Linked DNA regions of Macaca mulatta. The protein of the gene in region 1 binds, or shares a complex with, the protein of each later gene. Links are inferred from orthologs where the notes say so. Each region holds a gene or a part of one and is shown in the gene's direction. Other genes may lie near its edges.

What was found. The genes of interacting proteins can lie anywhere in the genome.
Region 2: CAMLG (region 1) and GET1 share a complex: the UniProt entries of both Homo sapiens proteins name them as parts of the golgi to ER traffic (GET) complex. The link is inferred for Macaca mulatta from reciprocal best matches to the Homo sapiens genes CAMLG and GET1.

The regions. Positions count from the first base shown.
Region 1 is NC_133411.1:143,652,260-143,658,102, forward strand, and holds the start of CAMLG (guided entry of tail-anchored proteins factor CAMLG), read left to right. Parts: upstream 1-2,453; 5' UTR 2,454-2,813; intron 2,814-2,866; 5' UTR 2,867-3,052; coding exon 3,053-3,224; intron 3,225-5,805; coding exon 5,806-5,843. UniProt on the Homo sapiens protein: Required for the post-translational delivery of tail-anchored (TA) proteins to the endoplasmic reticulum.
Region 2 is NC_133408.1:8,062,908-8,068,906, reverse strand, and holds the start of GET1 (guided entry of tail-anchored proteins factor 1), read left to right. Parts: upstream 1-2,290; 5' UTR 2,291-2,343; coding exon 2,344-2,445; intron 2,446-5,999. UniProt on the Homo sapiens protein: Required for the post-translational delivery of tail-anchored (TA) proteins to the endoplasmic reticulum (ER).

The DNA.
Region 1 (5,843 bases):
GAATTGCTTGAATTCGAGAGGCAGAGGTTGCAGGGAGCTGAGATTGTGCCACTGTACTCCAGCCTGGGCGACATAGCGAGACTCTTGTCTCAAAAAAAAAAAAAAAGGCCAGGCATGGTGGCTCACGCCTGCAATCCCAGCACTTTGGGAGGCCAAGGCAGGTGGATCACAAGGCCAGGAGTTTGAGACCAGCCTGGCCAACATAGTGAAACCCCGTCAGTACTAAAAATACAAAAAATTAGCTGGGCATGGTGGTGGGCACCTGTAACCCCAGCTACTTGGGAGGCTCAGGCAGGAGAACTGCTTGAACCTGGGAAGCAGAGGTTGCAGTGAGCCGAGATCACGCCACCGCACTCCAGCCTGGGTGACAGTGCGAGACTCAGTCTCAAAAAAAAAAAAAAAAAAAAGTGGCGGGGCATGGTGACTCACGCTTGTAGTCCCAGGTACTCAGGAGACTGAGGCGGGGGGGATCCCTTGAGACTAGGAGTGTGAAACTGCAATGAACCATGATTGTACCACTGCATGCCAGCCAGGGCAAGAAAGCAAGACCCTGTCTCTTTAAGTAAAAAGTGACATGAATAACTTGCCAATTACTAAGTAATGCTATGTTGTGCATCCAAATTATGTCAATGAAAAACTAGTGCTGAAGGTTCTTTAAATAGCCTAAGTAGATGTCTGGGAGGCCATAAACTGAATTCTTTTTTTTTTTTTTTTTTTTGAGACGGAGTCTCGCTCTGCCGCCCAGGCTGGAGTGCAGTGGCCGGATCTCAGCTCACTGCACGCTCCGCCTCCCGGGTTCACGCCATTCTCCTGCCTCAGCCTCCCGAGTAGTTGGGACTACAGGCGCCCGCCACCGCGCCCGGCTAGTTTTTTGTATTTTTTAGTAGAGACGGGGTTTCACCGTGTTAGCCAGGATGGTCTCGATCTCCTGACCTCGTGATCCGCCCGTCTCGGCCTCCCAAAGTGCTGGGATTACAGGCTTGAGCCACCGCGCCCGGCCGATAAACTGAATTCTTGATGTTTGCTCCTCAAGGATAGCTGGGTTTGAAATTCTATATCAAAGGTTATTTTTCCATTTATAATGTTAAGATATTACTCCATTGTCTTCTGTACCCTTGTGTAATGAGATGACTGGCCAGGTGCCGTGGCTCATGCCTGTAATCCCAGCACTTTGGGAGGCCGAGGCAGGTGGATCACCTGAGGTTGGGAGTTCGAGACCAGCCTGACCAACATGGAGAAACCCCGTCTTTACTAAAAATACAAAATTAGCTGGGCATGGTGGCGCATGCCTGTAATTTTTAATAGAGACACGGTTTCACCATGTTGACCAGGCTGGTCTCCAGCTCCTAGCCTCAAGTGATCCACCTGTCTTGGCTTTCATCCTTAATGTTCTATAGTTTTGTTACTGTTGGGTTCTTTTGGTGGTTTTTTGTTTTTTTTAATTTTTCTTCTGAGACGGAGTTTCACTCTTGTTGCCCAGGCTGGAGTGCAATGGCACGATCTCGGCTCACCGCAACCCCCGCCTCCTGGGTTCAAGCAATTCTCCTGCCTCAGCCTCCCGAGTGGCTGGGATTACAGGCATGCGGCACCACACCTGGCTAATTTTGTATTTTTAGTAGAGACGGGGTTTCTCCATGTTGGTCAGGCTGGTCTCGAACTCCCGACCTCAGGTGATCCGCCCGCCTCGGCCTCCCAAAGTGCTGGGATTACAGGCATGAGCCACTGCGCCAGGCCTGTAGTTTATTTTTTTATCCTGCTTGTTATTCAGAGCACACTTTAAAGATCCTTGTCTACAGTTCTGAAAAACTTCAAGCCATTTCCTTTTCAAATATTTGAAAACTGTTCCATAAAATTAATTCTTTCTGGAATAAATTTCTAGTCCAACTTTTAATTCGGCTGTAAGAATTTAAGTGTTGTATTTCTTTTTTTTTTTTTTTTTTTTTTTTTGAGACGGAGTCTCGCTCTGTCGCCCAGACTGGAGCATCTTTAGCATGCAAGTTGGTCATAAATGATAAGAAGGAAAAAAAATAATATAGCATGCGAGGTGGTCATAAACGACAAGGAGAAAAAATAAGGTGGAGAAGGGGAATGGGGAGTGCTGGCAATTTAGATAGAATGTGCACGAAAGGCTTCACTGGGAAATTCTGATTTGAACAAAAACGCACAAAACGTGAGGAAAGCCTAGGAACACAGCACCCGTATTCTTGGGCGTAGAGAAGTTAAGGATGAGGAACAGGAACCAAGAACAAATCCCAGCGTAAGGCTCCGTTTAAGCGTGGCTCCCTACAAGCGAGGCCGCCGGTCTGTAAACAAGCGACTGCCGCTGCAACCTCCATTTTGCTTCCTGGCACCAAATCTAGGCTGATTATTCACTGCCATCCCTTTCCCACTTCCGGTTTCCTTTCCTCTTCTCTCCTCTCCTCTCCTCTCCATCTCCTCTCTCTTCTCTTCTTTTTTTTCCCCTCGAGACAGAGTCTTGCTCTGTAGCACAGGCTGGAGTGCAGTGGCGCGATCTCGGCTCACTGCAACCTCGGCCTCCTGGGTCCACGCGATTCTCCTGCCTCAGCCTCCCGAGTAGCCGGGATTACGGGCGCGCGCCACCACGCCCGGCTAATTTTTTGTATTTTTAGTAGAGACGGGGGTTTCACCGTGTTGGCCAGGCTAGTCTTGAACTCCTGACCTCGTGATCCGCCCGCCTCGGCCTTCCAAAGTACTAGCATTACAGGCGTGAGCCACCACTCCCGGCCCTGGGTGCTGGTTTTCTTCACCTCCGAGTGAACAGCAGAGGGGTCTGTTGGGTGAGGGCCAGACGAGTTGGGGAGGAATCAGGGCGTCCAGCGCTGCCCTCACTCAAGATGGCGGCCAGAGCCTGGCGCTTCGTCGCGTGGAGCGGCGCTTGCGTGCTTAGCTCACAGGCTCCGGCACCGCGCTCGGGGGAGGGACTATAGTGGGAAGGGGACGCGCGCCTTGCGGCCCGGGCTCTAGTCATCGCCCTCGCCGCGGCGGCCAACACCAGCGCTCCTGCCACCCCTCCCAGACTGTGGACGGGAGGATGGAGTCGATGGCTGTCGCTACCGACGGCGGGGAGAGGCCGGGGGTCCCAGCGGGCTCAGGCCTGTCGGCCTCCCAGCGTCGAGCCGAGCTGCGTCGGAGGAAGCTGCTCATGAACTCCGAACAGCGCATCAACCGGATCATGGGCTTTCACAGGCCCGGGAGCGGCGCGGGTAAGAGCCTCGATTTCCCCTCTGTCTCCCGCCTCTCCCCTTGAATCTTCAGGGTCATTCTTCCCTCTCCCACCTCCACTCCACTGACCTTTTTGACCAAGCCCTGCTCTTTGACTTCCTCTCTGTCCCGCCCCTTCGGTTATATCCCAAGTTCTCATTCCTGAACCCCAGGATGTTCCCCAGTCGCTCCCCTCAAATTTTCCTGGAGCCTCGCTGTGAGATTTTCCCCACCCTGCCTGCAGAGCCCTCGCTGTCTCTGCCCAGTTACGTTAACAGCCCCTTTTTTCCTTAGCCACTTCTCGTCTTGAAGGGCGCACGTTGTATCCCCAGACTGTCGTGTCCACTGCTCCCCTTAGGAAGATGGCTTTCCTTGTTAAGGTTCCAAGTGCTTTTCCTTACAGTGCCTTCTGTAGCGTCTACCTTCTTTTGCCTTTTGCTGTGTAACTCTTGTCCGCCCACGTCAGCCTGTCTTTACGGAACTGCCCGCTAGTTCGTCCTACGTGTATCAGGGACTCTGTGGTCATATTCTAGTGTCTGTGTTCAGTGCCCTCAACACTTGTCACCTACGGGCCGGCAAGAAAAGTTGGGAAAAGTGAGAGTGAGCATTCTTCAGAGACCCAGCAAGTGCGACGTGCACCTGAGAGTTTCCTCTCCTCACCAGGGGAGATCGATGTCATTGATGTCTGGAACTGCATTTCTAAAGGAGAGCACCTCATTCCTCCCCCAAACATATATCCAATGATTTTATTTAAAAAAAATTTATTTCACGTGAGTATAACTGAACAATTAGCACGCCCTAGTGTTTTTCCACTGTTTCCTTTAGTAATTGGTCTTTAGTCAGTGCTCGCAAGCTCCTTAGATCTTTGTGACTTTTGTTCTGGAAGGCTTTAGGTGTATAGCTCTGCATTTTTAGATAGTTCAAATGAGAGGTAAGAAAAACATTTCAAATTCTTCTAGAACACTAGAAGAAACATTTTTCTATCAGGCTACTTATTCTTAAAGCATTATTTACGATCTTACCCGAGGTACTTTCTTTTTTTCTTTTTTCTTTTTGTTTTTGAGACGAAGTCTCGCTCTGTTGCCCAGGCTGGAGTGCAGTGGTGCGATCTCCGCTCACTGCAAGCTCCGCCTCCTGGGTTCAAGCAATTCTCCTGCCTCAGCCTCCTGAGTAGCTGGGAGTACAGGCACGTGCCACCACGCCCGGATAATTTTTTGTATTTTTATTAGAGACGGAGTTTCACCATGTTGGCCAGGCTGGTCTCAATCTCCTGACCTCGTGATCCGCCTGCCTCGGCCTCCCAAAGTGGTGGGATTACAGGCTTGAGCCACCGCGCCCAGCCGGTACTTTCTATATTTTGTTCTTTTGCTTTGAAAATTTTATGTCTTTAAAGGTTTTGTTTTTTGAGACAATGTCTCCCTCTGTATCCTTGGCTGGAGTGCAGTGGCATGATCATAGCTTACTGCAGCCTCAAACTCCTGGGCTTAAGCAATCCTGCTACCTCAGCCTCCAGAGTAGCTAGGACCACAGGCGTACACCACAATGCCCGGCTAATTAAAAAAAAAAATTGTGTGTGTGGAGATGGGGGTCTCACTATGTTGCCTAAGCTGGTCTTGAACTTCTGGGCTCAAGTGATCCACCAGCCTTTGCTTCCAAAAGTGCTGGGCTTACAGGATTACAGGTGTGAGCCATTGTGCCTGGCCTTTTTTAAAACAAAAAACAAAAACAAAAAAAAACACACCAGAGTAGCATCTTAAAACTGCTGAATTACCTACTAATGGTTGTCTGACCACATAAACAGTAGCTGTGGGATATGCCACACCCTATGCTCATAGGGCACTGGATTCACAAATCTAATTTTAAAATACAGATTTTAAAATGCCTTACTGATTTTATATTTTTAACCAAATAAGCTAAGGCAGGCAATGCAATCATACATCTGGGATATATTATCCATAAAAAGTTGGTCTTTTCAGTTTGCTCAATCTCTGAATATCTTTCCTAGTTGGTCTACTAATCTTATCTCCTACCCATAAAGTTTGAGTTATTTCCTCTGCAGAATACTCATTTTGGGTGATATATTTTGAGGGTGTAGAGGAAGAAACCAACTTTTTTTTTTTTTTTTTGGAGACGGAGTCTCGCTCTGTCGCCAGGCAGATGCAGACGGAGTGCAGTGGCGCAATCTCGGCTCATGGCAACCTCTGCCTCCCGGTTTCAAGCGATTCTCCTGCCTCAGCCAGAGTAGCTGGGACTACAGACAGCTGGGACTGCAGGCACATGCCACCACACCCAGCTAATTTTTGTATTTTTAGTAGTGACGGAGTTTCACCATGTTGGCTAGGATAGTCTCAATCTCTTGACCTCATGATGCGCCCACCTCAGCCTCCCAAAGTGTTGGGATTACAGGCGTGAGCCACTGTGCCTGGCCGAAACCAGCTTTTCTTTAATGCAGAATCAATATTTATTTATTTTGATTCAGAGACTGCTGAGTTCTAGCTGCAACAGCATATTTTAAAACATAAACATGTAAGGTGTTTGCCAGTATGTAATAAATACATAAGGCTTTTAAATTTCTTTTCTCAGAAGAAGAAAGTCAAACAAAATCAAAGCAGCAGGACAGT
Region 2 (5,999 bases), on another chromosome or scaffold:
CTGTGCTTGGCCTGTCATCACTTTTCAAGAGGCAGTTTCTCCTCCTAAATCCATCTCAATCTCCAGTGACAGAGAAGCCAGGAGCCCGGCTGCCATGCTGCGTGGTCCATCCAGGTGGAAGGGAAGGCCATGGAGGAGAGCCAGGCTCCTGCTCTTTGTTTTGTTCAGAAGTCACTTACTAACCAAGAAGTCCTTTCAGGGAAAGGATTCACTCTACTCCTACAGAATAGCCTTGTTTCACATGTTTTCTTTTTCTTTTTTTTTGAGACGGAGTCTTGCTCTGTCGCCCAGGCTGGATCACATGTTTTCTTGAACAGAAATTTGTAGAACTGGCTGTGCGCGGTGGCTCAAGCCTGTAATCCCAGCACTTTGGGAGGCCGAGACAGGCTGATCACGAGGTCAGGAGATCGAGACCATCCTGGCTAACACGGTGAAACCCCGTCTCTACTAAAAAAAATACAAAAAACTAGCCGGGCGAGGTGGCAGTCGCCCGTAGTCCCGGCTACTCAGGAGGCTGAGGCAGGAGAATGGCGTAAACCCAGGAGGCGGAGCTTGCAATGAGCTGAGATCCGGCCACTGCACTCCAGCCTGGGCGACAGAGCGAGACTCCGTCTCAAAAAAAAAAGAAAAAGAAAAAGAAAAAGAAATTTGTAGAACCACAGCCTCTTGCATAATTTTTTTTTTTTTTTTTTTTTTTTAAAGACAGAGTTTCACTCTTGTCGCCCAGGCTGGAGTGCAGCGGCATGATCTCAGCCAACCTCCGCCTCCCAGGTTAAAGCGATTCTCCTGCCTCGGCCTCCTGAGTAGCTGGGACTACAGGCGCCCGCCACCACATCCAGCTAATTTTTGTATTTTTAGTAGAGACAGGGTTTTGCCTTGTTGGTCAGGCTGGTGTCGAACTCCTGACCTTAGGTGATCCACCCGCCTCGGCCTCCCAAAGTGCTGGGATTACAGGCTTGAGTCACTGCACCCAGCTGCAAAATTATTTTAATTGGTTCATAATAATGAGCCAGAGTTGTACTCTGTCGCCCAGGCTGGAGCACAGTGGTGTGATCACAGCTCACTGCAGCCTCGACCTCCTGGGCTCAGGCGATCCTCTCATCTCAGCCTCCCTAATAGCTGGGGCCACAGGCACGTGCCACAATGCCCGGCTAATATTTATATTCTACTGTAAAGATGGGGTCGCACTATGTTACCTAGACTGGTTTCAAACTCCTGGGCCCGTGATCCACCTTGCTTGGATCTCCCAAAGTGCTGGGATTACAGGCATGAGCCAGTGTACCCGCAATCTTGCATCATTTTGATTAGGAATTAGTCCTCAGAAACCAGCCATGGCAGCATGGCAGAAGAGACAGCTGAACATGTCTTGCTTTATCCACTATGTATACTTTTTTTTTTTTTTTCTTGAGACGGAGTCCCACTCTGTCGCTGGAGCTGGAGTACTAGTGGCACGATCTTGGCTCACTGCAACCTCCGCCTGCCGGGTTCAAGCGATTCTCCTGCCTCAGCCTCCTGAGTAGCTGGGACTACAGGCGCGCGCCACCACGCCCAACTAATTTTTGTATCATAGAGACGGGGTTTCACCATGTTGGCCAAGCTGGTTTCGATCTCTCGACCTCGTGACCCGCCCGCCTCGGGCTCCCAAAATGCTGGGATTACTGGCGTGAGCCACCACGCTCTGCCCACTGATGCATACATTTGATTTGGGATTCTTTTGCGGCAAAACCTGATCCTCACCTAGATTCAGGTTACTTTATTAGCTACTACTAATGATTGTGAACAGTGCATTCTAATAAACTTATTTTTACAGGTATGCAATTGTGTAAATTGGTTAGACTTACTACAGTGTTTAGTTCTGGAACGAAAACGTAAGGCATTTTCCGCATACCTGCTTGGAACACGACAGCTACCTGCTACTATACTTACGGTAGTTTTTTATTTATGGAAGAGTTTATCTTAAACTTATCTAGAATTAAAAGTTAAAGAAAGTACTAATTATGACAAAAGCAGGGAGTCGTTAGCACTTGAAACCAGAATTTGGTACTATGAGAAGGTTTTCAATTTTAAAAAGAAGGAAAAAAAGAAACACGGACGCCAGGAAAACTGGTTGAGTAGGGGTGGGGGCGGGTGCGAGAAGGCTACGGAATCCCCGAAGGCCCAGGAGGAACCTGGAACATGTCAACCGCTCCAACTGGAGCGGGTGGTAAAAACGGCCCCGCCTCCTGCGAGGGCGACGCAGTGCGCAGGCGCGCTGGGCTTCACCCGCGCAGGCGCAGTCGCCTCTGCTGGCGTGGTCCCCATGGAGCTGCCGTAGCGAACCCAGTACAGCCAGGAGTATCCGGGATGAGCTCAGCCGCGGCCGACCACTGGGCGTGGTTGCTGGTGCTCAGCTTCGTGTTTGGGTGCAATGTTCTTAGGATCCTCCTCCCGTCCTTCTCATCCTTCGTAAGTGGCTGCCTGGCCTCCCAAGGGCCGGTGGGGATGCCGCCCCAGTCCCCTGGCGGGTCTGGGAGTAGGTACAGGGGTCTCAACTGGGCGACTGAAGCCCAGATTCAGCCCGTAGTAGCGTCTTGGTTGGTCTGTAAGCTTTTTTGAGATAGTTGGTAGCGTCTAAAAGGTGCGCCGCTTTACCCCAGAATCAGACTTTCTGGGTTCTAGGGGGGTGGGGGGAGAAACATCCGGCAACCCTGGGCCACGCTTTCACGGGACAGGAATCTTCTAGCTGTGGGTGGCGGCGGCGAACCTCACATTGGGAGTTCCTGGTGCCCCGCTGCCAGCCTCACCCGTTTCCGTTAATCCTGGTCCCTAGAGGCATTTGAGCAGCCCTCACCCAGGGTTTTCCCAGAGGCCTGGCGGGCGAAGTCCGCTGTTCCAGGTCCCGGAGAGATGGATCCTAGCGTCCAGGAGCCCACATTCTTGGGATGGGTAGGGTGGGAGACAGGTGCAGAGAGAATCTCAGTACAGCGTGATGCCTTCAATATCCAAGGGAGCAACCAGCTTGGGGAGCACTCTTTCTGCCAGGTAGTGAGTACATTACCTCCCTGTCACGGCTGCTGGGAGAGACGAGTTATTATCCCATCCTCCTTTACCTCCCGGAGGAGTCTGGCTCAGAGAATTTAGTAGTGGCGCTAAGTCATCCCGCTAGTGACTGGAGGTGGAGATTTGATTGCCTGTTGGAGCAGGGATAGGGATAGGGATTTGGTGGCAAATTGAACAGGGCGTGGTGGGGTGTGGTCATGGGAGGTGGGGGTACTTTGGGAACTGTCCCCGGGAATGAGCGCCCTCTGTATGCCCACAGCAGGAATGAGGAGCTGTTGGGCACAGACGGAGACCTCAAAGATTGTGCGCATGCGTTGTAGCATTGTCTTGGAAAACAGTTCTTGCTTTTCTCTCCTAAGATAAATTGGTAATAGTGGAGTATATTTTATTCCACCAGTATTCATTGAGTGCCTGTTTTGTGCAAAACTATTCTTACTCTCTCCGTTGTCCTACTGTCTGCATTGTCCTGGAGATACAGGAAATTCTCTTTTAACCCCTGAGTCTCCTTCAGAATCTTTCCTGATGCTATCCAGTCTTTTTAAGATGATGTCTCAGGTCCTTAGCATTGCATAAAAGACTCCTGATGAGCTGGCCCATGCTCATCTTCTTTTTCTTTTTCTTTTTTTTTTTGAGAAGGAGTCTTGCTCTGTCGCCCGAGCTGGACTGCAGTGGCCGGATCTCAGCTCACTGCAAGCTCCGCCTCCCGGGTTTACGCCATTCTCCTGCCTCAGCCTCCCGAGTAGCTGGGACTACAGGCGCCCGCCACCTCGCCCGGCTAGTTTTTTGTATTTTTTAGTAGAGACGGGGTTTCACCGTATTAGCCAGGATGGTCTCGATCTCCTGACCTCGTGATCCGCCCGTCTCGGCCTCCCAAAGTGCTGGGATTACAGGCGTGAGCCACCGCGCCCGGCCTCATCTTCTTAATTGTAAAATCTACATAATATGAATTTATCATCTTTATCATTTTTAGGTGTACAGTTCAGTGGCATTAAGTACATTCACATTTTTGTGCAACCGTTATCCCAGAACTTTATTATTATTTTTTAAAGACAGGGTCTGGCTCTGTGCAGTGGCACAATCTCAGCTCATTGCAACCTCTGCCTCTCAGGTTCAAGGGATCCTCCCACCTCAGCCTCCCAAGTAGCTGGGACCACAGGCATGCACCACCATGCCCAGCTATTTTTTTGTATTTTTTGTAGAGACAGAGCTTTGCCATGTTGGCCAGGCTGGTCTCAAACTCCAGACCTCAAGCCATCCGCCCAACTTTGCCTCCCAAAGTGCTGGGATTACAGGTGTGAACCACTGCACCTGGCCCCGCTCCCAGAACTTTTTCTTTTTTCTTTTTTGGAACAGAGTCTCAATCTGTTGCCTATGCTGGAGTGTAGTGGCCTGATCTTGGCTCACTGCAGCCTCCGCCTTCCAGGTTCAAGCGATTCTCCTGCCTCAGCCTCCCAAGTAGCTGTGATTACAGGCACCTGCCACCATGCCTGGCTAATTTTTGTATTTTTAGTAGAGATGGGGTCTCACTATGTTGCCCAGGCTAGTCTCAAACTCCTGACCTCAAGTCATCTGCCCTCCTTGGCCTCCCAAAGTGCTAGTATTACAGGCATGTGCCACCATGCCCGGCCCCATATCACAACCTTTTTATCTCCTCTGACTGAAACTCTCGCACCCATTAAACAACTCTCCATTCCTGCCTCTCCCTGGCAACCTCCATTGTACTTTCTGTCTCTGTGAATTTGACTGCTCTTGGGACCTATGTCATATAAGTGGAATCAGACAGTATTTATCCTTTTGTGACTGGCTGCTTTTCACTCAGCATAATATCCTTAAGGTTCATCCATGTTGTAGCATGAGTCGGGATTTCCTTCCCTTTTAAGGCTGAATAGTATCCCATTATATGTATAGGCCACATTTTGTTTATTCATCCATCTGTCTATGGACACTTGCGTTGTTTCTACCTTTTGACTGTTGTAGATAATGCTAAAATGTTTACAGATACCTCTTTGAGTCTCTGCTTTCAGTTTTTCTGGACATATACCCAGAAGTGGAATTCCTGGATCTATGGTAATTCTATGTTGAATGTTTTTGAGAAACCACCATGCTGTTTTCCATAGCAGCCACACCATTCGACATTCCCACCAGCAATGCAGAAGGGTTCCAGTTGCTCCACATCCTTCAACACGTATTTTGTTTTCTTATTTATTATTTTTATTTATTATTTTTATTTTATTTATTTTTTTGAGATGGAGTCTTGCTCTTGTCACCCAGGCTGGAGTGCAATGGTGCAATCTCGGCTCAGTGCAACCTCTGCCCCTCGGGTTCAAGAGATTCTCCTGCCTCAGCTTCCCAAGTAGCTGGGATTACAGGTGCCCGCCACCATGCCTGGTTAATTTTTGTATTTTTAGTAGAGATGAGGTTTCACCATGTTGGCCAGGCTGGTCTTGAACTCCTGACCTCCAGTGATCCACCGGCCTTGGCCTCCCAAAGTGCTGGGATTACAGGCCTGAGCCACCGCCCCCAGCTTATTTTTATTTTTTTGAGAGGGAGTCTCTCTCTGTCACCCAGGCTGGAGTGCAGTGGCTCAATCTTGGCTCACCTCCACCTCCTGGGTTCAAGCAATTCTTCTGTCTCAGCCTTCCAAGTAGCTGGGATTACAGGTGCATGCCACCATGCCGGGCTAATTTTTGTATTTTTAGTAGAGACGGGGTTTTGCCATGTTGGCCAGGCCGGCCTCGAACTCCTGACCTCAGGTGATCCACCCACCTTGGTCGGTCTCCCAAAGTGCTGGTGTTACAGGCCTGAGCCACCACACCCAGCCTTTTTTTTTTTAAATACTAATTATCCTAATGGACAGAAGGTGGTATCTCATTTAGTTTTGATTTGCATTTTCCTAATAATTAGTGATGTTGAGTATCTTTTCAGATGCTTATGGCCGTCTGTTTATCTTTGGAGACATG